Linked DNA regions of Lepisosteus oculatus. The protein of the gene in region 1 interacts with the protein of each later gene in a pairwise test. Links are inferred from orthologs where the notes say so. Each region holds a gene or a part of one and is shown in the gene's direction. Other genes may lie near its edges.

Region 1 (7,395 bases):
ATTGCTCACAGCAAAGTGGACCTTGCCTTGACATCAGATGGCAGAACCATAGTGTGTTACCACCCTGCAGTGGACGTCCCCTACGAACACACCCAGGTACACCCTGCAGGACATCACCTTCATCATAATAGCAAATCGCGTTACAGGCAGATTGCAACAGAAGGTTTTCAGATCCAGTCAGAGCACCAGCTTGGTGTTTTTCTAGGTGCATTTGTGTCTTATGCACTTACTGTAGGACAGCACCATATCTGATCACCTTCCACCACAATATCAAGACCCACATTGTAGCATTTACTTTTAGATCGTATTCCTTACTGTTGTGATTTCTGTCTTGATTGATTATGCTGATTGATATTTTTCTTCTAAAGTTAATTGACAGTTTTGAATGTAACCTTGTATACAGCTGACGGTTAAATTAAGTAACATCATCAAGTGAGTGAATTCTATTTAAGCACCGTATCACCTTTGGCGCGAGGTCGCTTTTGGTAGTGGATCTTACCATGGTCCTAGGTTTGCGGGTGCCTGTCATGTCATTTGGTTTTGTTAAATTTTCTTGCATCGGGTGGTAAGCTCATTTCAATTATAGAACATTTCCAGGCATGACTTAAATTTGGTATTAAATTTAAATTTAAAATTAATAGCACCCCAGAGTCATGCAATGCAAAGTGCAGCTTCTTGCAATCTGCTGATGCCCAGTCTTCAGCATTAGAAGGCCGGTACCACAGGAAGCAGCTCTAGTAGTGAAAGTGAAACGTGGTCTCTCACTCCTTTCCTGAGATCATTGTTCTGGGGCTGGTCTGCGAGTTACCAGTTTTAGCCAGGGTGGAAAAGAAATGCTCCTTGTAAATTGTAATGCACAACTATGGCCTGTTGGAACGTTATTTTGCAACATTAGCTTCTTCTCAACACTTATGGAATGGAATCTAGATTAAAATCATTTGGGAAATGGCCGCACTGTTGCATTTGTTTGTCTAGAGCACGATGTGTGTCTAGCTCTTTTTCTTTAAATAAGAACGGGTTGTGAAAATGAATACCTCCCAGTGCAATTTAAGCGAATTTTGCTCTTCACAAAACGTCATTGTTTATTATTCCTGGTCTAGCCTATCCCTCAACCAGACCCCCTGAACAGACCTGAGGAAACACATGATCAGGTTCTGAAGGCTCACTTGAATAAAGAAGTTTTGCGAAATAAACAGGCGCCCACCATTGAAGAGCTGAGCAAGATGTTCTACACCACTAAACACCGCTGGTACCCAGTAGGACAGTAAGTACAATATCCTGTAAAGGCCTGAAAAGAATTGCACACTGTTTTAGTTTTTTATTGCTGTGTGCTGTTAGTGTGATATGCTGGTTGCAGAATTAAGGTTAAAATGTACAGTATGCAACAAAGTAGATCATAGTAGATCACAACCTATACATCTGTATGCCTTATGGGGGTGTGGCAATTTCTGATAAATTACATGACGTAATTGCATGTCAGTATAATACTATATTTTTTGTTTTTATATACTATTAATTTTTACACAAAAGATAATCTCTAATGTAGGCTCCCATATTTTTCAGAGTTATTTTAATTTTTATATATAGAATTATTTATTTCTTCCAGTTAATAAAGTACACAGAACTACACATTTAAGTATTGTGTTTTTTGCGTCTGCCTGTGGTATGAAAATTTGAGTAGAAAAATTGTGTGGCAGTCCAACCTTTTTATTTGAAGGGCCCAGTTCCACAAAATGTATATTTTAACTTGGATGGAGAAAGTGATAAAATAGACCTATTCCTCAAATTTGTTTTTAACTCAGTTCAGTCAGATTAAGTGATTTACTTTGATGGATTAATTCTGACAAACAGATTCATGGTGTAGCTGCTGAGTGAGATATTGCACAGAGACCAATTTCTGAAATTTATTTTTATTTCCTCTCAGGTACCACAGGCGACGTAAAAAGACTGACCCTCCCAGAGACAGATAGTCTTGAACACAGCTGACATTCAAGAAATGGTGACATTGTGCTGTCTGTGAAGATGTTTGAAGTCCTCGAATAAAAACTGCAGTTCTAATTGCTTTACTGTATGTTTTGCAAATGATTTTGAGTGCTGTCCTGAAGATCCTTTGAAAATATGTCCATTCTCTAGGTCATGAAAGTAACAAGAACATTCATTTGACACTCATTTAACAGCTGTTAAAAGGCACACAACATTGGAACCACAAACAATGAAGCTAGGATATTTTAAAATATTATAAGGAAACTTATAATTTCCTTCTAATTCTTCTGTAATATACTGTACATAACATGGAATTAGTACTACTGACCTTCTTTGAACTATTATTATTTCTCATTCCTGTGCAAAATCCTATTTTAGATACGAAATGAATGGAATACCTCAAGTTATGAGCCACCTCTTGTTATGATGACATATGTGAATTCAGAAAAATATCTGATCACTTTCCAAAGCAACTTACGTGATTTTTTGTGAAATGTGTGACTGCAGTTCAGTGAGATCTCACAAAGTGGTAGTAAATGATTACCAACACGTGCTTATACATAAATGACTTGGCTGAGCTCTGCAATGTGATTCTTTACTACACAATGGTGGATTGTTTATTTATTTTATATATATATGTAGCAGTGGTTAGAGGTCTAGATGGTGAAATTCACATTGTAGCTTCAAATATGATTCAAGACACTGCTGTTGGACTATTTATTAAGCTGTTTCACCCAAAATACTTCAGTTTTATACTCTGCTGTATGAATGGATACATGTGCAAGTCATTTTAGATTAAAGGCAGCCAAGTAAATATTTATCTGATCCCTCCTTTAAATACGTACACTGGCCAAAATACTGATTTTCCTGATTTGATCTGACTGGTTCAAGTGCACTTCAAGTTCAATGAGCTGTTACAAAATTGTTGTGGTTGTCTGAAAGATTTAAGCTTAAGATATATATGGTTTAGTTAATTGTAAGCATCTACAGTCTTTCTGTCCCTCAGCATCACAGTGTATAGCCTACTCAGGCAGTGCAATATAGTTGCTATATACTTGAAAAACACCAAAATCGTTCCTTGACAGCATATAAATAACATGCCAATCGAATTAAGAGTACTTAAGTTTTAGACATTTGACCAAAAAAAAGGTCTAGAAGAGAAATCTGAGAATTCCTTACCCCCATCTGAAAAAATTGCGAGATATACTTGCTCTGAAACTGTTTTTGTTTACAGGAGCCAAAGTATTGGTGGCAGTCTCTCGCAGATAAAACTAGAAAACTTCTGAGAGGATAAGTGCACTTTATAAAATGTTCAGAGGAGAATGGCATGCGGTTGAGAAAAGGAATGTAAGGACAGTGTGACCGGGTGAAGAAAGGATTTTAGAAATGTCAGGAGAGAGATGGAAATGAAAAATGGAATTGAGGCTGAATGTAAATGTTTATTTTTCTAGCATGACAACAGAAAATTAACTGGCTCTGAGGGAACGGAAAGTTTTAAATGAGGGAAGAGAAAAGGCTGATGTATTAAAGGAATATTTAAGTCGAGGAATTTTAGTCTTTTAAGTGGAAGCACTTTAAAAAAATCTCTTTTACCCACTGTACTCAAGAAGAAACACAAGCTGATATTTGCAGGCCATCAACAAAACTTAAGTCCATCTCTCAAGGGTCATACTTATTTTATAACCCCCATCCATTAAAAGGAAGAAAGACATAATGTGATAAAACTGTACATAGGTTCAAATAATTACCTAATAATTACTGCCAAATATATACATATGATGAAAAACTGATTAAAAATGAAAAAATATTTCTATATGAAGCCAGTTTACAAACTAGTTCAAGTAGGTAGCTGCGTCAGCTGCAAAGAAATAAAGGTTTATTCCATGCTGAGAAGAGAAGGAGACACAACGTTGCGTTTTATATTATTATTTAATGTAAATAATATTAATTATATTATTTATATTAATTATTAATTATATTATTTATATTAAGATTATGATCTAGCAGATATTTTGTGCTGCAATTATATTCCTTATAAGGAATAATATTCTGTATTATTCCTTATATGCCGTGGCTGTAGTGGTAACTATAAAACTGCCTTTTTGCGGGGAAATTCTAAGACGTCAACATAAGTGATGAATATTAGCTTTCACATCACAGAAGTCCTCTAAACGTCAGTTATTGATGTGCATTTTGGGTCCGTTTAATGCATTATATGGTAGTTAACAGTTGTAGCTCGGCGTGGAGTACGGGAGTGATCCACCTAGGCGTCTGTCGGGACGTGTAGTTCATTTCATTTGACGTCTCCCGGCGTGTACGTAGCCGCTCAGCCCCCGGACAACTACATTACCCGGCATGCATGCGGGGAGGCAGTGCTGGCATTCACCGGAAGAGCCGTGCGACTGCGCCCTAGCGCCGTGAATGCAAGTGAGAGGAGAAGCAGCGAGAGAGTCAGAGCTGAAACCGCATTACGACAAGATGGCAGGACTGCCCCGCAGGATCATCAAGGTAAGCCGCTACAGCTTTCTGCACTAAACCGTAGCGTACTGGCAGCTCTCTTGCCCCAAGGGGGGACGGGAAAATAGTGAGCAAGCGGCTCCCGCACGGCTAAGTAGTCTTGCAATACGAGTATTTTCCCCGGCTACTTCCGCTTATTCTCTGCTCCAAGCCCGAGTGCCCGACTGAGGCTGGGTTAAAAATACCTCCTCCCTGGTTAAAGATGGCGGAGAATCGGGGCCCTTGTCGTCTTACGAAGGACTGTTGGCGGTTTAAAATGAGCGGAACCGGGTTTTTTTTCTCGCAGCAGCAGATCAGACCTCCCACTCCCCGCTCCCCGAGCCGTGCAGGCAAGCGCCATGTGTAGGCCATCTGAAAATGTCATCGAGAGCTGCCGTGGAAAAAGAGAGGCGGGGGGGTGGGTGACTTGAGCAGCCGTTTAGCAGTCGGGCGTGGAGGGGTATTTGATCTGATCGCGCCCCGAGATGTTTGCCAGCCGCTCCCGGCGGGTCGTGTTTGCAATCGGGAGGGGAGGGAGGCGGAAGAGGGGACAGGCCGGCGCTCGGGTCCCGCTCCTCCGCCTGCGCAGGGCTTCCCCTCCAGGGCTAAGGCCTCGGTCATGGGCGGGATCTCGCCGCGCAGGGCCCATAGAAATGAATGAGATGGGAGAAGCGAGTTTTCGGAGATGGGTGTGAGGGGAGGGCAGGGCAGGGCGGGGGTCAGCACGCCGCGGCTGCCGGTGCTGGGAGGACATTTCGCCCGGGCCTTGCCGATCCGAGCTGCTTCGTGACGATCTTTATCGTCGCGGCCTTTTGTTGGAGGCACTGCCGTGACGCTTGTGGCGAAAAAAAAAAAGGGTGGGGGTGAAATGACGCTAGCGCCTACCCGAATCGGGTCTGGTGCCGCATCAGGATGGTTTAGCTAGTGGGTAGTGGGTGCAGCGCGCTGGAGAAGCGTCTAAGAATGCCCCTCTAGCGACGTGAATTTCAGCACCGTGTAGAGCACTCCTACGTTTCATCTGGTAGAAAGACGTGGGTGTTAAAAAAACGCAGCAGGACCCCTATAGCTGCCGAGGAACGTTTCATTTTAATTTCTCGAGGAGGGTGTTCAGCTCGCCTCGGCCCGTCCAGGCGGTCTGGTTGCTGCTAGCAAATTAATCCGGGGCTTTCGGACCTGTTGTTGGAAGAACAAGCAGCTCCTTTTAATCAGGGCTGAGAGTAATTCGTTTTCTTTTTCAGATTTAAAAGCCCTTCACATGCGCATAAAGCACTGAACTCTGTAGCTGTAGACGAAATTCTAATGTGTGCGGTCTCTTCATGGGTACTAGCAGGTGATCATGGGTTTCATATAAAATCTTCCATCATAACACAATTCCAGGAAGTGAGGCAGCAAATGCAGTTCAGTTTCTCTCTCGTTGTAAATAGTTCATTGTCCCCAACAGTGCCAGTATGCTTAATAATGTGAAACCTGGATTTGTTTTATACTATTCAGCTCTTGTGCAATTGGTATTCTGCTACCGCATCGAAGAGTGCTCAGTGAAAAGCTGGTTGTGTTGGCAGATTTGTAAGCGTTGCGTTTGCTTATTGAGGCACGTAGTGATTGTTTTTTTTTAGGTCTGGCAGAGTGAGGAGGTGTGGTTTTGTTGACTTAGCCCTTGTAGATGGCATCAGTTGTCTCTTCCTGTGTAGAATGGAATACGTGTACAGAAAACCTAACTCCTTCACAATTATCTTCACTTTGAGTTCCATTTATCCCACTGCGTTATCTGATGCAGGGTCACACGGACGCCAGAACCATCTCCCGGAGTAAATTAAGGGAAATGGTGTTTCTTAGATGCTGAGTTGCATGACTTTCTGTGCTGTTCTGCTGAAGGAAATTATATTTGCAGATCTGACAATCACGCAATGTGTGCTTGCTGGTTAGAGCCAATTCACAGTGGAACTAACTGAATATCACCGTAAGACCATTTCATTACAGAAAGCCTTGAGGTATAGTTTTGGATTAAAGGGAGTTAAATCCAGGAAAGGTGAAAAATCCGGGCTAGGTAATGTTTACTCCCTTAAATACTTAATTTTAACTTGCATTTAGAAACCACAGAAGGTTCTGGATTTTATATTGAATTAGAATAGAAAATCTGAGACAAGGCTTGAAATCTGTTATTGTGGTATGTGAATCACTGCCTCTTTGTGTTGAAAATGACTGATGTACAGCAGTTAAGCACTGCAGTGCTCTTTAGTGCAGAGAGGGCTTACAGATTCTTGTGCAATGCATTTAATGAAATGTGTTGGCTGATCATGAAGTACAGGTTTTTACTGTGCAACATCCCTACTTGGTGTGAGTCGCTATTAGTTGTTGGGGTCTTTAATTTTATTCCTAAATAACTCCAAAAAAGGTGTGAGACCAGGTGCATTGGGAGGCAGGTAGAATGATTCTACAGCATCATAGTGAGGGAGTGTCCCTAAGCATGAGATTTTTTAAAGTTGTTTGAAGTATTTTGTGTCTTTTTTGGGAAATTTTTTTACATATTTTTGTGATGTCCGCCCACCCGATTTGCAATTGACAGTTGTGCTTTCAAGTCTCAGCTTACAGCTATGAGCCTTGCAGCCATACCCAAGAATGAGGAAATGCTGCCAGACTCCCACAGCCCACCTGCTTTCAAGCTGTTCATATTTTTACACCTCGCAGGCTATGCAGCCTCGTTCAGGAAGTTCAGCATTGGTTGGAGGAGAGGTGCACCCCTCTATGACATCACTTCCGATCTGCAGGTGCCCAGGAGGTTCACAGAGGTCACTTTGAGCTGAGAGAGTCCTGGCCTGACTAACTCCCACCATATCTCTGGCACCTCTTGGCCAGTTTAGCACTGGGCTAGTGACATGACCCAGGTTGGAACAAGTGGCGCTCGGATTGTAGCATCCT
Region 2 (7,472 bases), on another chromosome or scaffold:
CTGTCCTGCTATTATCAAAGCATTGTACCAGACATCTGGTGTGACGTGAGGCCCATACACCTGCGTAGCTGGGGATGAGTGGTAGCTGGTATCATGGCCTTTGCGCACAGAAATAAGGATCTTTGTCACTTTTAAAGTTATCATCAAAAATTGCCGCTATCTATAACACGATGAATCACACTCCCCAATAAAGAATTAGCCATTCATTAATATACAAAGAACCATTGCATCTTATACCGTCACCCTTTCTGAATTGCTAGCTTCTACGTGTTCTGTATTCGCTTGGCCCTCATGGATTCTCTGTTCCAGCTTGTTGTTATTTTCCAAGGTGACTCATCCACTCTGACAGAGTTTTTTTTCCTGTTTTTTTTTCTGGGATAGCGAAGCCAAAGAGTGATTTCTGCAAAGAAGGAGAAAACAAGAGACGCACAGGGCATATCAAGCAATGGATATAAATGAAAGAAGAATATGAGATCAGCAGAGGGCTGGTAAAGAATAATACCTTTCAGCTGTAGTTTTTCACGGTGGCCTGGTGCAGCGCTCTCAGGAATGCCTGACACATATTCTTCCAGTTCGTCGTTCCAGCACTTGTTACAGACTAGAAATCCTCACACCCTCACAGTGTACTCAGCACAGACCCCAGAGCTCTAAGGCAGACTGGAAATGGAGAGCAGGTAGATAGGGCACAACAATAGCAGCTCCAGTTTTCAGTTCTAACTGCCTGTCCATGTGCTTTCCCTGGTGTCTCACTGTTCACTCTGAAGAAATGGGCTTTGTCCCGGCCGTGGAGGATTTTGAATATTTGTAGCAGCAATCTTAGTTAAAGACTAAACTGGCCCAGTTCTTTCAGCCTGTCGGTGTAGGAGTTTCCCTCACACCCCAGAAAGCACCTGGGTGCTCTTCTCCTGACCTATTTACAGAGCAGCATAATATTATCAATAAAGCAGCGGCCAAAACTGTGTACAGTATTCTTAACGAGACCTTACTAGTGCGTTAGTAAAGTAGTTATGCACTATAGCAGTACAACTCTAACAGCGACAATCCTAATACAGATTATTATGGTACTCCGCTAATTACATTGCCCGCCAGTGGAGTAATCACACGTCATATCTGTACTGTTCTCTAGTAATTAGCCAGTTCAAAACCTGAAAAATGTATTATGTTAGATAAACATGGTCTGCAATTTGCGAATTGCTCTTCAAACAACTTGGAAAAATCTGCACAGCCCGCAGTGTGTGCTCTGTGGGACTTGTCCACTTCCTTCAGCCTGTCAGTGTAGGACTTTAATTGAAGCCCCAGAATCCCTCGGGGTTCTCTTCTCTAGACTAATTCTAGACCAGAATCCCTTGATTCAAGTTCTACACTTTTAGCTATACTGTACATTGCAGCACTTTGTTTCCATGTGTCATTGCCTCCCCACATTGTCTGGAATTTGTACAGTAAGTGACCAGCTAAGTCTTTTTCATAAGCAGCCTCCTCTGGCTCAGCATTTGCTATGACATATTTACAGTTTATGTTTTCACAACCTGCAGGCATAACTAAGCAGCTGTTTACATTAAACATCATCTGCCAGGTGTTGGCCAAGTCTTGAATTTTATTTTATTTTTAAAAAATTTGATTTACTACTTCTACTGTGTTTTCTGATCCTCCTAGTTTGGTATCATCTGTAAATGTGGGCGAGTTTACTAACTATACTGGACCTGAATCTAGATATCAGTTAAGAAGATCAGTGTTTCTAGTACAGACCCTTGTGGTACGCCACTAATGACATAATTCATATCTATTGTGTATGATCTGTAATTGTCTGCAAGCCCACACTAAAAACCCACTACAAACTCACAGCTGCTGCAGTCAGTTGGAGGGGAGCTGCAGGACACTGACAGAAATGTAGCTGTCAGCTTCCTGCTGTACTTGACACAGTTGACATTTAAGGTCTCTTGAGCTCAGGCTGGTACAATTTTACACATCAGAAGAGCAGTGTCCCTATTGATAACACGCAGTGCCAGCCGAGATTCTGGAAACGCTCCTGCTCTTGAATTTGAAGGCTTTTTTCGAGAATAACAACACACCATCTTACTCTTTACCAACAACTCATACATTTCAGGATACAGGCCCTTTATCAATAGAATTGAGTCTGGGTGTCCCTGTTCAATGGATACTAAATTCAATTACTTTGTGATCAGAGTATAATCCCTGAAGCCCAATCACATCAGTCCTCTAGATCTCCTCAGAGAACATGGATTAAAAACTTGTAACTAGAACAGAGTATTCCATTCTATTGAGAGGTGGTAAGGAAGAACATTACCACCTCTTAACCAGTACCTTAAAACAATCTAAAACACTGATCCTTAAACCGTAAACCTTTTGAGGCATTTCATTAATAAATCAGTGCACCCACATCAAGAATATTTTTGCTGGAGTTATAAGTACCTTTTTTTTGTACAGCATGAAGAATTTTCCTTATTCATTGTTTTCATCGTTTGGAAATGAGTTTGGAATCAAAAGAACAGACTTTCTTTCAGTGTTCTTTCAATACAGTGTGAATTGCTGTCTGTAGGTTCACAATACTTTTCTGTTTTAAGCAAATACAGGAGATGGACAATGCTATATTGTTGCATTCAGTGTGCTCACAGCAATAATCATTTTTCACATTTGTGTCGGAACTTTGCGCTGTTTGAAGTCAGTGATAGCTGTTGCCCTTTCCTTATGCGGACTATATTTTTTAAAGCACAGTAAGGATCCTATCAATGTATAAATTCACAAACAATGTGTTTCCACACAAAATCCATACATGAATTACTGAAAAATGACTGAATGTGTTATTCTTATTAACATTAGTTATTGTTTGATTAATTCTTGTGTATTTTGTTCAGCTCTTCACAGTGCACATATTATAATGTGACTCTCTGTTGTTTCTACTTGTACAGGTATCCATGTAGAATAAAAACCCTGCTAAAACACATATTATAACAAAGGTCATACATATTATGCTACACAAGCCACATTATGTTTCTGGAAACGAACAGTTTTTCTCATAGCCCAGGTTCTTTAACCATGAATATCTTCATTCAAGGCTATAACTGCTAACCAGTAAGAAACCAGACAAGATTTCTCAAAACTGTTTATAAGAGAGAGAAGAGGGAGAGGAAGCAATGAAGAGCCTAGAGGAACACAACTAGTGGTGCACATTCCCCTGCAGCTCTCTAGACATACAGCCCTTCCTATTTCCTCAGTGTACAAAATAGATCTCAGTGTATTCTATTTTATTTAACTTTATGTAACCAAAAAGGAATACACAAAATACTGTGAAACAAGTCACACCAACAACTAACTGCAAACCCTAAACAGTGAGTGAAATTACAGTCAAGAACCAATGCCCCAGGAGAGCTCTGAGACATGCGTCAAAATTGAACCTCGTGCCACAGGCAAAGTGTTTCTATGCTTCTGCTTTGTGCAAGAGAAGGCCCATAGAGACTTCATGAGTGCGACTCAGTCGTTGCTGCATTCAGCAAAACATCGCTCAAGCCTCATCTGCGATTCCTACAGGCTGTAGGTGCTCCACTCTTTAAAAAGGCAGCAATCAAAAGGAAAGCCTCTCAGAGGCTCCCATTTCAATTGATTCAGTTTTAATTCATGGGAAGTTTCCGTGCTGCTCACATCTGCTCACTTGCTTGTGCTGGAATATAATGTAACTACTGTATATGGAATATCTTAAAATTAACTAACCATGTTTTATTGTTTAATGACACAATGAGAACAAAACTGACTCATGTTTGTGTGGTTTAAACAATACACATTTTCAAATTCAAATGTTATGGTTGTTGGTTACAATTATTAAGGGGTTTACTGTTAAATACGGGTTAAATTCATCTTTCAAACTACTTCCCCAGTGACACAGATCGGTCCCCACCAGCCTGCCCATCTGCAGACTTGAAAGTGTGTCTTATTGAAGAGAGTCTGATTTCATGGCTTAGTGACCTGAGATTCTCAGAGATATGGTTCCTGACCTGTTGCTTCTGTCTGTCTCGAACTTACTGTATGTTATTTTCAAGAGGTGACAGACAGCAAGCTTTGTGCTGAGAAGAAATGAAGAGGCTGTAGTTTGTAAAAGGTGGCTTACGTCATTTTCATTCGTGCCTGTTTTGTGTAAACAAAAGACCTTTTGTTAACTTTTCCTCCACGTAATGGCTTAACAGATCGTCTCAGCTAGTTCAAACTGCTCTGTGACATGCTCTAAGGCTTCCTGCTGCATGTTGTGCATGAAAAAGTACCGGCCAGTACCGTAACTTGGCAGCTAAAAAGCGTAAGATAAGGGTCCTTTTTTCCACGGGGCCACCTGGCGAGAGGGGCAGCTCATTCCCGTCCGTGGGGCGCGACAGATACAGCAGCCCCGCCCCCGGATCACGCGTGTCCCCAGCCCGGTGCCATGGCAGCGGTGGCCGGCGGTTTCCGGGTGGGCAGTGCCCCGGCGGTGCCGACGTCGCCTGACGCACAAAGGGCAGGGCCGCCGCGTCCTCTCCCTCCCTCCATGACCGTCTCTGCTCTCGGTCCTCCCGCCTCCCTCGTCACCCCACCCCACCCCTCTCTCTCTGTGCGTGCGTGTGTGTGTGTGTATCGGCGGCCGCCTCTCCGGCTCCCTTCCCCGGCGAGGCAGACGAGGCATGGCGGCGGAGACGGGCACGGCAGCCAGCGCCAACTCCAGCACAGCAGCGAGCAGCGGGGGCCGGGCGGCCCGGAGCGCACACGCACGGTGTCGGGGAATAATCGCCGTGGCACATTTCTTTTGAACATTTCTTCTTGGGGTTTTTTTTTCCCCCCTTCGTTGTCGCCGTTGTTGTATGATGCTCTTGTTTTGACATATCCCGGCAGGGGGGAGTTTCTTACCTGACGTTTTTCCTCCCCCTTTTTGTTTTAATTTCACCATCAGCCAACAACCCCCTCCACCGGCCCCCTTAACTCCTGGCGGTGCCAGGCAGCCTCGGGGGTTGTTGTTATTGTGTTTTTCTCCTTTTTTTTGTGTGGTGTTACTATTAACATTTCCCTCACTGCCTTGCCCGGGCTCTGGATTGCTCTCCCGGCGCACACAGCCGGGGGGGAACTCCTCTCAGTTGGCTGGACAGCTTGTGAGTGCCCCCTCCCTCCCCTGCAACACCTCCGCTCAAGACTTCATCATCAGTCCCCGGGCTGGACTGGTAGCTGACAGATGGGAGCGAAACAGAGCAGCCCGGCGGCCAACGGGCGGACCAGGGCTTACTCGGGCTCGGATTTGCCCTCGGGCACCTCGGCCGGGCCCGGGCACGGCAGGACGCCGGCGCTGAGGTACGGTTACGAGCCCGCCTCCGCACACGGGGCCTCGGGAGCCGCCGCCGCCGCGGCTCAGCCGCTCGGCCCCAGGACGAGGTCGGTGGGCGGCGGCGGAGCGGGGTCAGGGACCGGGAGCAGGCCCCAGTCGCTGAACCAAGCCGGCCTGAACATCCCCAGCAGCGGCTCCCAGGAGTCCGGCAGCAGCACCCCGGAGGACGGCGGCACCGGCGGCGGTCACGGCGCGCCGCGGCTGCTCATCGGCTCGCTGCCGTCTCACCTTTCGCCGCATCTCTTCGGAGGTAAGAGCAGAGCCGGGTTGTGTCTCGACAGCAACACATTTCCACCGGAGTCTGCCTGCCTGCCTGTGTGTGTGTGTAGCGCCTCAGTACCAGCTGCACTTGTGCAACGTGTTGTTTGTTTTATACCGTGCGTAACTGCGCAGGGAAAACTGTTGGTGAACTGGAAGTTAGTGCGCATAGTGTTTCGCGTACGAACTTGACCTTTAGTTTTACTCCACAGTTTTATCAGCTGGCCTGGGCCTGTGTGTGGGGGGGTTATGTCAACAGTGCACGAATTATTGCGAGCTGGGGGGGGGGGCACCCAACTGGAAATTTCTGGTTGATATTGGATTGATAAGGGAGCGGACAAAAAAAAAACCTGTTCACTTCTGAGGGCTGAGATTGATCATGCGTCCCGGTGGTTGGTTGTCTTCAAAGACAACAGCGAACACGCACAAACACCCAACATCAAAACGGTGTTGGTTTCCCCACCAGGTGTGTAGCTTAGCCCCCTTCAGCCCCGGCCGTAAAAAAAAAGGGAGGTCGTGCCTTTCATCTTCTGTCATTCCTCTCGAAAGGACGCGACCTCGAGCAAAACCGCACGGCTCCTGTTTTGATCAAACTCGAGAGCCCTGAGCCCCCTGTCACAATAAACAGGCACACCCCCTCCTGCTCTGATCGGGAAGGAGCCAGCTGAGACGGAGCAGAAAGCTGGTGGGCGTGAGGAAACTCGTGTGCATCAGGTGGGGGGGTTGACGGCCGTGTGGAAAGTACCGTCTTCGGCTGGAGCAGGAGTCCCAGACTGAAACTGGTTGACAGCCGATTTCCAGCAAGACTGGAAGCAGGAGCGGGTGGGTGGGTGCTGGTGGTGGTTTCTGTAAGTTGGCCCTGTTGCCAGTCTGCGTGCCCGACCTGCGTCCCCACAGATGTGGGTTTGTGCAAGGAGATGGGGTTTGCTCCCAGACACACGCAGGGGGGGTCGACGTGCTAGCTGGAACTGCCCTTTTCCAGGGGAGATTCCCAGGGATTTCCTACTGTGCCGGCTGTGGGGGTGTGAAAAAGATTGCGATGAGCCATGTGGTTTGCTTTCCTCTGTGTCCGTGCTGTTGTTCTGAATGTGTAACATAGTAGTCGCGGAAGAAATCTATCTTTAAGTTGAGGTTGCAACATAATTACGATCCAGAGAAAGTTGTTTATACTGCCCTAAGCCAGAGTTTAATTATTGGCACCGTTTACTTCTGGGTTTAATATTGTGAGATATGATATGTGGCGTTACACCATTCGTGTGATTCGGAATTAATTTTATTTGATCGTTTATTAAACGTTTACAAACGGAAGAGTCTTTCAAATGACAGCTGATCCACAGCCCTCAGTAAAGAATTGGTATCAGACGTTGCGTTAAGCCTACAGGAGCTGACAGCATATTTGGAAGTAGTCATCCTCCTATAGGAGTTCCATAGACTTAAAACGTCAAAATGCAACAATAGTGATGAGATACATTATTACTGATATGCATTTTTAATGCTCCTTGTGGGTAACCCATTACGAGAAAGTTGTATTATTTTGAATTGATTTAACGTGCATTGCATTTTTATTTAGAGTAAATTTCTTTCAGTTGTTACGGGATTATAAAAGGATTCCAAATTGAGTAAAGGTTTTGGTGATTTCCTTCAAAATGTGACTAAAGCACGCAAATGAATGCAGCAATTTAAAATATGGCCAGGTAACTTTGATTTATCTGTCTGATTGGTGTTCGGTGCCTGGCATTAGTTTGGTCTTGGAGTTGAGCAGATTACTTCAAAAAGGCTTTAAAATAATATAATTCCTTTCGGCTTCTAAATAGTCAGATTCATGCGCTAAAGGATTACTCTCAAGTGGGATATACAACCC
Region 3 (7,306 bases), on another chromosome or scaffold:
GTAAAATATGGTGGTGGTAGTGTGATGGTCTGGGGCTGTTTTGCTGCTTCAGGACCTGGAAGACTTGCTGTGGTAAATGGAACCATGAATTCTGCTGTCTACCAAAAAATCCTGAGGGAGAATGTCCGGCCATCTGTTCGTGACCTCAAGCTTAAGCGCACTCGGGTTCTGCAGCAGCACGATGATCCAAAACACACCAGCAAGTCCACCTCTGAATGGCTTAAGAAAACAAAATGAAGACTTTGGAGTGGCCTAGTCAAAGTCCTGACCTGAATCTGATTGAGATGTTGTGGCATGACCTTAAAAAAGCGGTTAAGGCTCGAAAACCCTCCAATGTGGCTGAATTACAACAATTCTGCAAAGATGAGTGGGCCAAAATTCCTCCACAGCACTGTAAAAGACTCATTGCCAGTTATTGCAAACGCTTGATTGCAGTTGTTGCTGCTAAGGGTGGCCCAACCAGTTATTAGGTTTAGGGGGCAATCACTTTTTCAGACAGGGCCATGTAGGTTTGAATTTTTTTTCCCCTTAATAATAAAAACCTTCATTTAAAAACTGCATTTTGTGTTTACTTGTGTTATCTTTGTCTAATATTTCAATTTGTTTGATGATCTTTCAGTGGGAACATTTCAGTGGGAAAAAACACTTTTTCACACCACTGTATGTGTATAATATATTTAAGGATCAAATACATGTAGATAATGTAATGACTTCAGGTTCACTCAGGATAAATGACAAGAGGAGACGGTGTAGGCACACAAGCACCTGCTTTTATTTCCTTTTACACAACAAAGACAAAAATACAGGATTTACATACAGATTAGGGGACAGACGGTACATGTTAGGGTGGTAACTGTTTAACTGACTCTACAAACTTAACTTATGGAACACTAAGCTTCAGAGAACACGTTAGCTAACGCAGGTCTATTCACATAGCAGGGTCAGTTGCTGGTCATCTTATGGACCCCCAGACATCCCCTGGCTACAACTCCCAGCTGGTGAGGCAATACCCTCAGCAACTTGGTGCACTTCCTCCTCACCACCGGGCAAGGGCGCTACACTTCCCCCACTTGACTCATACCAGGCTGTACTCATAGTCAGCTAATGGCTGTGGAACCCTGTGTGAGCGGCCGCTGCACCGCAGAGCGGATTCCCCATAGTCAGCCTCCCTGCCGACCTAGTAGGGTACCAGGTGGTCTCGGTGTAGGACCACCACTCTCCCCCGCTTTCGCAACCGGACACGGTGACAAACCTTGCCCACTACCCCTAGGATCTCAGCGGGTCACTCCCAGGACAGTGCCACCCCGGACTGGAAGGCAGGCCCCCTGCAGAGCAGATCGTAGTGCCACTTTTGCCAGATCCCTGCCTGAGTCAGGTGAGTTCGAGCAAAGCTGTGCACTCGCCACATCCACTGCTGCAGGTCCCACATCGGTCTGGCCGGCAGTGCTAGCCCATCTCAGGGCGGGGGAATCAAAGGCCAGATCACATCTCCTGGCCCAGCATGAGCGAGGCCATGGTGCACCAGGTAGATTTCTGGACCGCAGTCCGGTACGACTAGAGCACAAGGGGGAGGTGGCGGTCCCATTCCTACTGATGCTGGGACACCAGGGTGACCAGCTGGGTGGCAAGCATCCAGTTGAACCGCTCCAGCAGCACATCACTCTGGGGATGCAGTGGGGTGGTCTGTGTCATAGAGATCCCCAGGTGCTGGCACACCCTGGCAAAGACCTAGGACTAGGAAAGTTACACCCCTGGTCACTGTATAACTCCTCTGGTACCCCCAGCCTGGCAAACATCCCTCCAGTGAAACATCGGCAACCGTAGGGGCACTTTGGTCTGGGAAGGCATAGGCCTTAGGCCTCTTGGTGAATAGTCCACTTTCACCAGGACGTAGCAGTTCTCGCACTCAGTGCATGGAAACGGGCCCAAAATATCCACCCCTACTCGCTTTATCGGAGCCCCCACCTGGTGTTGTTGGAGGGGGGCCCCCACTTGCTGCAGCAGGTCCAACCCCAGGATGCAGTCCTCTTGAATGGGTGCTAGGTAGCAAGGGGGGCACACTGTCGCTGCACCCAGACGGATGGAGAGTGTCTGTTTGCCCCGGATCGCGGCAAGCTGTCCTGTCATGGTCCTCAGCCGCAGGTCGGTGGCCTCCCATCCTGGGGGATTGGTGCCCTCGGTGTCGGGGAAGATGCCAGGCCGGGGTAGGGTTACCGATGAACTGGTGTAAAGCAGGGCCAGGCAGTGCTGGTCCTCGATCTGGCAGTGGAGGTACAGGCCCCAGCTTCATTCTACATGCCCCATGGTGGTGTACGGGGCACCAGTCTTCGCGGTGCTCTCTGAATCGGGGGTTGAGGTCTTCAGGGGTGGCCGTCCCTATGCTGAGCTATCCTGCTCCCATTTCCTGACGCCGACCTCGGAGTGCAAAGCTCTGGGGCCCGGTGTCCCCTCTTCACACAGTATCGACAAAACAGCTGCGGGGCTGCTCTGCGGGGGTTACTGCACGAGCTGGCTCCTCTTCCCCCTCACTGGACTCCTCTGTCGCTGCCTCGGTAAGCCAGCAGGGCACACTCCATCTGCTGGTGCTGCCAGCCCCACCGAACACGGCCAGCTGTAAGTGGGGCTGCAGCTTTTCGGGTAAGAGGGCCTTGAGAAAGGCCTGGAGAGCCATTTCCAGCTGCGTCTCCCGGGGGAATGCTGGGTATCCTCGGCAGGTGAGGAAGAAGACATCAGCTACGACCGAGCCCACTTGCTTTCCCAGTCAGCGCCGCCACAGGGTCAGCCTCTCCTGTATCAGGTCCGGTGCCTCCTCCACCCCGAAGCGTAGCTGGAGAGCGTTGCATAGTCAACCCCCCTCCTTCTCTGGGAAATCCAGGAGCACCTGGCAGGCTGCTCTTTCCAGCGCCGCCGCCAGCTCCGTCTCGGCCCGCAAGCTGGAACTGTGCCTCATACGTCTCCCATGACGCTTCCCCATCAAAGCGACTGGGTTGTACCCACACCGGAAGGTGCAGGAACAGCTGGCCAGCCCCTGAGGAAAGCGCATCCCCTCTCTGCAGTGTCTGCTGGACAGGAGTAGTGGGGATTCACTCCGCTTCCCCAGGCGGGGCCACTACTGGGCAGCCCTTGCAAGGGCTGTGGCCAACCGTTGCACCCAGGAGTTGCTCAGGCTCCAGGTGTTCGCTGATGCTGGGTCCGGTCTCTTTTAGGGTCTGCTGGCGCTTGACAGAGTCTGCTTACATCTGCCACGGGTTGTCCATCCTGCTCGCTTCTGACACCAATTGTAACGACTACAGGTTCACTCAGGATAAAGGACAAGAGGAGATGGTGTAGGCACACAAGCACCTACTTTTATTTTTTTTTCACAATAAAAACCAAAAACTAGGATTTACACACACACATTAGGGGACTGATGGTACACATACACAGGTTAGGGTGGTAACTCTTTAACGGACTCTACACAATTAACTTATGGAACACTAAACTTCAGAGAACACTTTAGTTAACACATGTCTATTTAAATAGCAGGATCATTTGCTGGTCATCTTACGACAATTCCCGGCTACAGCTCCCAGCCAGTGCTGTGATATCCTCAGTAACTGGGAGCACTTCCTCCTCACCACCGGGCGAGGCTGCCACAATAATAACTATTGCAGTACTGTTATGTACTGTACACTAATAATTCAAGGTACTGTGATTGTTTCACTTGATCCAGCAGCATGAATGAATAGCTCTTATATTTACTGGGGGGTTGTGCATTGTAGGTTTAGGACTAAACCGGGGCATTCTTTTGCTCTTCAGCCTGCTTACCACTACAGAAACCCTGAGTAAGTTCTGGCCCTATAGAACACTTACTTTTGTGAAGGTTTGAATAAAACAAAGGTTATCTGATTAGCATTGTTTTGCAATGCATTCGTTTTGCATCCAACTGCGTTTTGCAATGCGATGAAACCAAGCACTGTGTGCAAATAATTGTTAGAGTTCATACATCACTGTTTTGAATATATGTCAGTTTTACTAATAGATGACCTTCATTGTAATTATTTTTCCCGGTTATTTTTAATGTCGTTGAGTCGTGTTTTTAACGTAGTCTAAATGGTTGTTCACGAAAGACGACTAGTTATAGCTTTCATTATTCTGAATATTACGAATGGTGTATTCTTTGCTCATAATTCTCCATTACTAATTAACTTTTGAGTCTTTAACAACCTGACATTTACATTTATGAAGGGGATAGGACTTCCATCCTTCCCTCTTCGGAGAGTAGAGCAGCTTATGCGCCAGCTCTGTCGCCTTTGCTTTTCCTTTTGCATGGGTGGGAGGAGCCGGTTTCCTGCGATTGTCTGTCTCTTTTTTTTTCTCTGAAGTTGCATATTCAAAACCTTAGCCTTTTCACTGAGCAGCCAGTGTTTGTGCTGCTAACCAGCAGATCAGCAGTCAGATTTGTTCTTGCTACGCCACACGGAGACTGCGTTTGTGTTGCTTTCCTTCCTGGCTAGGAGCTCTCCTTCACTGCGTTTTTCTCCAGGCTTCAAAGATGACAGGGGAAAGGATTGTTTGGCATAGTAAGCTGGTAGGTGACTGTTAGCCCTCCCTTCAGTGTGTGTCTCTTCTTAGTGTTTCTGGTTCGTGTCAACACTCTTTTCCTGAGAAAAGCCAAGAGAGAGTGAAGCAAAGCCAGACGTTTAGATGACTGCGTAACCAGTGAAAGAGTATACCAAATACTGGAGCAATTCAAAGCATATTTCGGTTCTGATAATATACGAGGAAAATAATCATATATTATGTACTATATATACGATATATAGCATGTACTATAAAAATGCCAAGCATTGCTTGATTACCTGAAGACAGACTTACATTTACTGAACTTTTTCTTTCATTCTGTAATGCATTCTGTCGATAATTTTCTAGATTTTGGGTGTCTATAGGACTGGTAACAATGTAAATTATTTTTTGGGTTGGTTTGCAATGTCTTTTTCCTTAGCGATGTTTAATGTTTAGCACTTCTAAATGTTAACATTTAACTGCACGAAAATAGAATTATAGTAACTTGTTCACGTTTATAAATAATAACTGAAAAAAACTGCTGGGTGTAGGTGGGTTTTAAGGCAAATGCACGGCTTTATCATGAGACGAGGTGATTGTGTTGGTGTAGATTTTCTGTAATCGCCTGTACGCCCAGATGTGTTCCACCTTTGTGCCTCTGAGAAATTGTAGTATCAAAGCTACGGTTTTTGAAAATGATGTCGCTGGTGTTTTGTTCACTTCATTATAAAGGTAATGGCAAAGGATACATATATTTATTTCCTCCCAGAAAAGACTTGCAGATTTCTGTCAGTGATTACACCGATGTAAAGTAAATTATATAAACATACAGTATCAGTGTTTTCGTGTGACAATTACAATAATGGCTGTATGATATTGTGAACATTTTATATTTAGCATTCACTCTTGACGCGGTCTCGGTTTTCATATTTTTCCTTTTAAAACACCCTTTAGATTTTATGTAATTAATTTTTATTTAATAATCGAATAACGTTATAAGACGGCAATGATCTTGTTAACATTTGTGGTAAAATAAATTGGTTCATTTTGTTCCCGTAACAAGTTTCTGGAGGTTAAGTGTTTAATTGTTAAGGACTTTAATAAAGATTAAACATTAAGAAAAATCAGTACTTGAATTAGTTCATCATGATCAACTTGAGATCGAAACATTTTAAACGAGTGACATACTAAAACGAATAACAAAATTGAATGACCATAGACTATAATGGGGAAAAAATAATTTAATAGGCTATAAGCCTTAACAGAAATAAAACCATGATTATCTTTGCTATTAAGTATTCCAATACTTAGAAAATCCTAACTAAATAAAAAATTGATTGATTGATTGTTCTTTTCTAATGAATGACAAGGGAAACAAAAAAACATGAAAAAGTTAACCTTTTGAATAAAAAAATCATATACAGAAAAAAATAATATTCTTACTCAAATTGCATGTTCATAAATATATTTTCTATGAAATATCCTAATGTAGAAATAGTTATTTTCTATGGAATGATGGGTATTTAAAAAATATGTGTAAATGGAGATGGAAACAATGCTGAAAATATCTGGAACCATCCAGATTCTGAATTCCATTAATATTAATTTTTTGAAACAAATGTTTCTTGAATAAGAAGACCTTTATTTTTTATTTAAAAATTTAAAGCTATTAATGACATAATGGTTACTACCGAGTGCCTGTTTTTTTCTGTGCAATAAATTATTCCAACAAGGAAGATAAAGGTCTGTCCAAATAATAAGACTTATATAACAAAAGACATTAACATGCCACAAATATGAGGAAGCTTGCTTTTAAGAATAAAGATGTTGATGAAATAAAACAAGACTAAAAAATAACAAATGGAGAATCTTAGGCAAAGCACGCATTTAAGCAGCATTTGGAGGATGTTTTTTTTTTAAAGCTAATAGCTGTAGAAGACTCTGGGAAAGAGTATGGCAGGAATGTCTGCACTCAGGAAGCTGATTGTGAATAGTAAGTTATGAATGCTTTTCTGTCAGGGTGTCTCGGAGCAGGTAGTTGTCCGAGGATCCTATGCATAGCTGTGAGCTCTGCCGGTTTAAGAGGTAAACAATCCAAAATCGTAATCCAAAAAGTGAGATCAAAAGGGAAAAGTCAAATCCAAAAGCCGAGTAAGCCAACAAGAAAATACCGTGCACTAGAAAACTTAAGAGGCCTTACAATAGTGAGCGGGGTTTGGTGAAGGAACTTTAAATACTGAAGGGAGAGGAACATGGTTGTGTAATGGGTTCAGGAGTGAGAATCTGTGGAATCTGGTGCCTGTGAGAATGTGATTGGTTCAGTTAGGAGTGAGAGCATGAAACAGTGCGTTTGGGAATGTAGTGGGGTTTGCGAGGGCGAGTGCGGGATGTGACAGTATCCCCTTTTAGGGTCGGCTCCTGATGACCCCATTGAGCGTTCATGGAAGAAGTCATCAATGAGGCCATGATCCAAAATATCTCCCTCGTAAACCCATGAACGCTCCTCAGGGCTATAGCCCTCCCAGTCGACAAGAAACTGCCCTCGGCCCCGGAGCCAGTGGGTATCCAGGATCTTGTTAACTGTGTAAGAACGTAGGCCGTCAATGATTTGTGGAGGAGGTCGAGGTTGGGAGAGGGGAGATCTGTGGTAGGGTTTCAAGAGAGAAACGTGGAAGGAGGGATGCACCCTGACAGTTGGAGGGAGGGCAAGACGATAGGTGACAGGGGTGATCTGGGAAAGGATGTGGAAGGGTCCAATATA
Region 4 (6,973 bases), on another chromosome or scaffold:
AACAAAAATTAAATCCAATATCCATTTGCTTGGGAATGAGGCTCCCACATAGCTGAAATAAATCCAAAATGTAATGTTTGACCAAGAATGACACGAGATATTTAGTACTAAACATCGTTTCAATGTTTCTTCTGCAGTAGGCACTGTTTTGGGAGGGGTAGAGAGGTGTAGGGGCAGGTGCTTTTAAGGGATTTTTTAAAACCTTCACTTTTGTCTAAAATAATTTAAAAAAATGTACCTGGGGTAGAACTAGCTCTTCTGCTTGAGAAAAAGACTAATGTATCTACTGTATGTTGACACTTCAGTTTCATTTTTTAGATAATGTGGGCAATACAAATGGGAAACATAATGTTAGGATATATAATATAATTATATATAGAAAGTGTAGAATTTAAAGTTCAATTATGTTAAAAATTGCACAATATTGATCACTATGTTACCAAAATAATCTTGCTGCTCTGGAATAAGTATACAGTATAGAAGAGAGACCGGTTACATTCTCAGGCTCGAAGAGAGCAATAAGGAATGCCCTCTTCTGATATGCTAAAAACTTTTTTTTTTCAGTTTCGGATGGACAAAGGACACAAGTGGATTCATCTGAACGCTTCAAAATCCTCAAAAACACTGACAAAGTCAACACTTTGGGCTTCTTCAACAGTAAAAATATGAACCAAAGGGAAAACATTAGAAACTATGGGGATGTACTTTTGCACAAACATTGTTGTAGTAGTACAGAATAAACTACCCAGTAATTCTGTCAAATCTAATACCTTGGCTTCTTTAAAGAAGAGGCTGGATGAGATCTTTGGATTACTTAGCTAATATTGACCAAACTATGCATATTGTATCTTTCTAGCAAGGTCTAGCTGTAAACCCATCTTGAAAAGCATACAGATAGAAAGACCTTTATAATATCTCTCTTCCTTTATATACTATATGTTATTCTTGGTGTATCTATACATTTTGGAGATTCATAATTTTGTATAATTTTTACCAGAAAGATTTTTTTTTCTGTTAATATCTGAAATGTAAATCCAAGTAGGAAATCCCATTAGGTCTTTATAAATGACTCTTGACGTCTACAGTCTGTAGTAAACCTCATTTTGCAACTCTGGAATGTGCTCGGAATCAGTGGTCGCCAAAATTGTGTTTTGCCCTTGACGATGCCCTCTACATTTCTGCTTTCACTTTCAAATGACGCATATAGAAATACTGCTCGCCCACCTCCAAAGTTTCTGTTAGCCCTGAAAGAGTTTTGAGTACCTTATAAATGGGATTACATTTCATTTAGCATACAGTTTGTACTTTTCTTTGAGAATACTCTTTCATTTTCCATTTTAAAAAGTGGCATTTAATGTGAATCAAACAGAATGAGGTACAGTAATATTCATAATTCAACTGAAACAGCTTTATTTCCTAATAGTAACTCTTGGTATGAAAAAAAATTTTTCCTATTTTCACAGCTGTTGACCTCTGAGGGCACAGTCCAGCTGAATTTTACCAAAACAGTAGGACTGTATGCAATGATCCATTAACTCCAGGGCAAACAGATTATTGAAAAAAAAGATAATGACCAAGGAGTAGGATATTTGTCTGGGTTACAGCCCAGCAAATCCAACAAAGCCAAGTAGGTCAATTTCAGAAAGTCTGTCTAATTTCATAACTTAATTTGTCTGAAACATTAAAACATTTCAGCTGGAGCATAAACTTCAGGATGTTTTTGAATCCTCTCCACCAATCGAGAAGCAGGGATTCACTACTCTACTCTATAGGCTACTCACACATGCTGACCAGCACAACTTTCTGTGAAAGAGAGAAAAAGCAAAGTAAAAAACGCAGAACACAGATTGTAATCAGTTAGCTATAATCCCGACGTGTATGGTAAGTGTAGCCTAGCACTGGCTGGGGTAAACACAAGCCAGATACCCTACAAGGAAAATGAGTAAACTGATAAGCGAGATATTTGGTAAGGTCAAGTTAAAAGGGAATGGGATTTTATTATTTTCAATAATTTCAATAAATATTGAGCATGTTTTTGTTTTTACATAAACCTCCAATTAAACCAAGCCCTGTTTCTCCCCAATAAAGCTTGTGCCAGCATTGAATTGGGCACCATCTGCTTATGACTGATAAATGCCCTTTCCACAGCTATCCTGGCTTATTCATGCTCAGGAGCCCATGCTTCTTCTAAAGGGCATCTGGCAAGACTGAAGGAGAGACGCAGCTCTCACAGACTCCTCTGCAATCTCCCGGGCCCCCTACAGGTCACAGATTGTGCAAGTGTCACAACCCCGAAGAAATAAGGCACTATATCTCGGGGGGAAAAGCAGCACAAATGCTGCTACTTTCAATGGCACTGACCAGCAAACCATCATTATTTGTGCTGTTTGCGGTGGTGTCAAGTTAACAGAGCTGTTACAGTCAGCTAATCGAGTATACTGGACTAGAACTAAAGATGTCTGGACTGTAGGTCTCAGGATGCAATCTAAGCAGTCATTTTTATAATAAAGATTAATAATACATTTAATTTGATATGGTACTTTTTTTAGTACATTTTACTGGCTGCGTTACTCAGAAGCTACACATGCTGTCATTTTAAATACACTGTTTTCGCTCAGATGAACTCATCTGGATGATATGGTATTCAGTAATTCTCATGAGGAATTCATGAGCAGGATCTACACCAATGGACAACAAATCCCATACACAGCCTTTGTCACCTAACCCAAAGCATTTTTTCAACTTCATTAGACATAAATCTTGTATTATAACCTGAAAGTACACACTGCTACATGGGAATGATCAGTTTGATGACTGAATACAATACAATCACGTGCTCAAAACGCACCAGTTCCACAAAAACAAGGCAAATACACTAAATAATTCCTTTTAACACGCATACAAATCAATGCAAAAATGTGTATACTACCAATAGGTCCCACATTACAATTGTACAGCTTGCCGTTATGTCTAAAAAGCTACAAATCCGCGATTTGCTATGTTAAGTACTCCTATCAATTCGTTCCAACAGACGCTAATATCTCAATCTCTTATTACGGCTGCAAGACTGTATGCTACCAAAATATGTGCTCCTACCGCCATCTAGTGACAACACGTTATATTGGCTTTAAAATACCTAAAAACGTACTGTACTTTGAATTCAAAATACACGGGGCAACCTCAAAATGTCAATGATACAGATTAAAGACAAATCGCGAAGGGCAATATTTCGTCCATTTTTTTTTTATTCCAAAGGGAATCTGATGTGTTACAGCATTATGTAAAAGGCTCACTGCATATCATTGGCTTCCCACCATTGCTTAATTTCCTTCAACGGACGAATTACTTTTCTCTTAAACCCATGCATTTACCTTCAGAATACCTGTACGTGTGTGTCCTGTCATTCGTTGCGTCGAGTCTGTCCTCAAACTCTTCCCACAAACAAAACAGGTGTCATGGCTAAATTCCACTCTGGACCTTCTGTCTGAGGTTTTCCTTAATTTAATTAATTACAGCTGGGGGGAGGCCATTCTGTGTTCCTACAGTTCAACCCGTTGGGTAAGAAAGTGCTTCCTATCCTCGGAAATACACTTACATGCTACAGTACGTATTTTACTTCTCGGTTTTTCACCGTTCGTTCTGAAAAGTCCACCGGGTTGAGTTTGTTAACGCCTTTGGGGATTTTGAACACCTATAAGATCCATTTGTATTTTTTTTTTTTTGTGGGACTGCAGAATGTAGCACAAATGAGCCAGGTGGTTGCTGCACTTCAGTGGTGAATAAAATCGGTCTCATCCTACCTATGAAGTATTTCAGGATTCTTTGGGATGAAAAGCGTTATTCTGTACTAATGCAAATACAATGAATACGTTAAGTCGTCACCTCATCAAGAAAAAAAGACTTGCAAAACTCTGAAACTCTCTCTTTTGTTTTCCTTTTCCAGCTGAGCTACAAGTTACTTAAACACCAACCTGAACCAGCTGCACCTGTTTACGAGCTGGAAGAGGTCGAGAACGGTCTGACACTGGAAAATGTCCCTTGTGAATTTAAGGTAAGTAATCGAGAACTCAGCTAGAACAAAAAAAAAACAGACAACCGAAGGATGTGCTCTGGACATATTTATATATGAAACATCTAAAAGCAGTGTCAAGTAAATTCTCGGTGTGGGGGAAAAACAGAAAGTCTGGGACCCGAGGAATTCCTCACAAGGAACTTCAAATCCCAGGAAGTCGCACTGTGACTGCTGTTGACAATTGCTCTCTCCTGCTTCATTGATGCTTGACGCCGCCAATCGTCTTGAGAAACGGGTCGCACTGCGTACGGAGAGGCCAATGAAATACCTCTGAAGGAGGGAATAAAGTTTCAGGAGACGTCACAGCCCGAGCCGCAGTCTTGCCTGGCACAACCGGGAGCGGGGTTTTCGGCCTGGGGATCTGACATTGGCACGGAAAGTGCAGGTAAGAGCACAACCAGCTCCCCAGCTGTGTAGCATCTCCATTTCGTTAATGCAACCCGCTTTGCGGAAGCAGCCGGGGTATGTGTGCTTTCTGTGCTGTAAAGATGATACTGCCGTCAGAGGCCTCCTAAGCAAGGTGTCGCTTACTGCTTCTTGGCACAGAAGGCACACGATCCCAGTTACTGTACGATTAAGTCGAAACATCGTTTCATGCAAATACCTCGCTAGTTTATCGGTAAATTAACACCGGCGTGGATTCGCCGCTGTTTGCACTAGAATTGCTGTTTTGTCGCTAGTGGACGTCATGGTTTTATTTGCACCATCAACACCTTTGGTTTCGTATTTATCTTACTTTGTTTTGGTTTTTTTTTTGCTTGCGACTACCCCTTTCTACAAATCCGTGCACTATCCCTAAATCCTCTTCTTAAATGACAATATTAGACGTTAATATACTTTAAAACGGAATGCTCCAGAATTGCTTAAAATATCCGCAGCTTTTGAGCGATTCATCCCGCCTATTGCGTCTTTCTTTAAAGACATTTAACTGATATAGCCATTGATATGCTTTTTCGTTGGTGCAGTCGCTGTACCCTCATTATCACAAAATCATTCTGGTTGGCATTTTTCAGCAGCGTAATTTAAAGGGGCACTGCAGGCAGTCAGGGTGGTGCAGACAGTCACTAGACTAAGCCCCTACCCTCTTGCTAATATAGCTGCAGTCCAGCCTAGAAGAGTCTGAAGTATTCAGGTTTACGGCCTTTTGATTAAAGTGCTGTCCACTGCAGTAGTCGCACCGCGCAAATACAGACTGGTCTGGACCAAGGTACGAAACATAAGAAAGGATATGAAGGAGGAGGCAATTCGGTACATGTAGCCCGTTTAGTTGTTGGTAGTTGCTATCATTCCTGCAGTCTCCACTTTGCATGAGCACTAGGTACTTTGGAATTTTAAAAAAGCTGAGAAAGTATGGGGCTTGAGAGCGATTTTTACAATGTAAGTCAGTTCTTTGAGCCTGAATTTACCCATCTCATTTTGAATAGTGGTTGATTTAAGTATTTAAAATCTGCGAAGGCAGAGCAGAATCAACCTTGCAGGTTTCTTCAGAATCTACAGAGGCTATGAGCGGGGAGCTATTGTATGTGCAGGTGCGTTTAAGACAGAATGGGGAATCATTCTTTTTACAAAGGGATGTGGGAATGTGGAACAAGCTGCTCAAGCAAACAATCTGGTTTTTTCTTTTGCAAGAAAAGGCTGTAGGAAATCTTTGGATAATTTAGCTACAGAAAAACGAAACAAGCAAAATGGGCCTCCTCTTGTGTAAACCATGCTTAATGCTACTCTTAGGAACATTACAAAACGCATCAGTTCATTATACAGAAGTGCATCGTAGTCTCCTTCCAAGTTTAAAAGATACAAATGCATTACCAAAACAGGACGATTTATTCCACAGTGCAGTGCATTTATTATTGAGTTCCATCAGATCACAGACGGGGAAATTATGCTTTATCTCATTTGCTCCTCTCCTCGCCAGGTGGAATTGGCTACAGGATCATGGCCTCGGCTGCCACTTTGGACCCAGACGTGGTGAGAGAGGTCTTGGAGTGCCCCATCTGCCTGGAGACCTTCAACCGGGAGCAGCTGCGCCCCAAACTCCTGCAGTGCGGCCACACGGTTTGCAGGCTCTGCCTGGAGAAGCTGCTGGCGAGCACCATCAACGGGGTGCGCTGCCCCTTCTGCAGCAAAGTCTCCCGCATGAGCAGCATCTCCCAGCTGGCGGACAACTTGACCGTGCTGAAAATCATCGACTGCGCCAGCTCCGGCTCGGCGACCAGCCTGATGTGCAAAGGCTGCAAGAACCGGCTGCCCAGGCAGTACTGCAAGGACTGCGGCCTGGTGCTCTGCGATGCCTGTAAAGCAGAAGGGCACCAGCACCAAGGGCACATAGTCCTGACTGTCCGCTCAGCTGCAGAGCAGCGGAGGAAAGAGGTGGGCGCCAAGCTCGCCATCTTGCGGGAGACGATGGGGAATATCCAGAAGAAAAAGGCCATGATCGACGGCATCTCGAAGTCCCTGCGGCTGAAATACAAGGCCGTGCAGCAGGAGTACGCCAAAGCGGAGCTCAGGCTCCAGGAGGAGCTGACGAAGTCCCGTAAGGCCTTCGCCTCCTCGCTGAGCGAAATCGAAAAGCTCAACACCCAGATCCTGGAGGAGCACACCTACCTGCTGAACATCGCCGAGGTCCAGGTGGTGTCCCGCTGCGACTATCTCACGATGAAGATCAAGCAGGCTGACATCGCTCTGCTGGAGGAGGCCGGCGACGACGAGGAGCTGGACTTGAAAAGCAACCTGCCCGCGCTTTTGAAGCTGCAGGATCCGGAGCTGGCGAAGGTCGAACGTTCGGAGCCTCTGGACGTGGGGCAGGTGGTGAGCAAGCAGTGTACCGTCGACACAGACGAAGGCTCCCATGACATAGCTGCGCTGTCGCTGGATGTGTACCGTGACGTCGACATGGCGACG

What was found. The genes of interacting proteins can lie anywhere in the genome.
Region 2: the proteins of ubiquitin-conjugating enzyme E2 N (region 1) and znrf2a interact in a two-hybrid assay, tested with the Homo sapiens proteins (4 studies listed by BioGRID). The link is inferred for Lepisosteus oculatus from reciprocal best matches to the Homo sapiens genes UBE2N and ZNRF2.
Region 3: the proteins of ubiquitin-conjugating enzyme E2 N (region 1) and mid2 interact in a two-hybrid assay, tested with the Homo sapiens proteins (2 studies listed by BioGRID). The link is inferred for Lepisosteus oculatus from reciprocal best matches to the Homo sapiens genes UBE2N and MID2.
Region 4: the proteins of ubiquitin-conjugating enzyme E2 N (region 1) and trim32 interact in binary tests that used the Homo sapiens proteins (3 or more experiments, as listed by UniProt). The link is inferred for Lepisosteus oculatus from reciprocal best matches to the Homo sapiens genes UBE2N and TRIM32.

What each region holds. Positions count from the first base shown.
Region 1 is NC_090702.1:52,389,807-52,397,201, reverse strand, and holds the start of ubiquitin-conjugating enzyme E2 N, read left to right. Parts: upstream 1-4,373; 5' UTR 4,374-4,404; coding exon 4,405-4,491; intron 4,492-7,395. Other genes in the region: mrpl42 (large ribosomal subunit protein mL42), read left to right, coding at 12-96, 1,101-1,264, 1,925-1,970. UniProt on the Homo sapiens protein: The UBE2V1-UBE2N and UBE2V2-UBE2N heterodimers catalyze the synthesis of non-canonical 'Lys-63'-linked polyubiquitin chains. This type of polyubiquitination does not lead to protein degradation by the proteasome.
Region 2 is NC_090705.1:41,643,883-41,651,354, reverse strand, and holds the start of znrf2a (E3 ubiquitin-protein ligase znrf2), read left to right. Parts: upstream 1-4,450; 5' UTR 4,451-5,203; coding exon 5,204-5,603; exon of another isoform or gene 5,604-5,764; intron 5,765-7,472. UniProt on the Homo sapiens protein: E3 ubiquitin-protein ligase that plays a role in the establishment and maintenance of neuronal transmission and plasticity. Ubiquitinates the Na(+)/K(+) ATPase alpha-1 subunit/ATP1A1 and thereby influences its endocytosis and/or degradation.
Region 3 is NC_090703.1:28,285,502-28,292,807, reverse strand, and holds the start of mid2 (probable E3 ubiquitin-protein ligase MID2), read left to right. Parts: upstream 1-4,284; 5' UTR 4,285-4,570; exon of another isoform or gene 4,571-4,574; intron 4,575-7,306. UniProt on the Homo sapiens protein: E3 ubiquitin ligase that plays a role in microtubule stabilization. Mediates the 'Lys-48'-linked polyubiquitination of LRRK2 to drive its localization to microtubules and its proteasomal degradation in neurons.
Region 4 is NC_090719.1:11,226,103-11,233,075, reverse strand, and holds the start of trim32 (E3 ubiquitin-protein ligase TRIM32), read left to right. Parts: upstream 1-3,951; 5' UTR 3,952-4,457; intron 4,458-5,987; 5' UTR 5,988-6,007; coding exon 6,008-6,973. UniProt on the Homo sapiens protein: E3 ubiquitin ligase that plays a role in various biological processes including neural stem cell differentiation, innate immunity, inflammatory resonse and autophagy.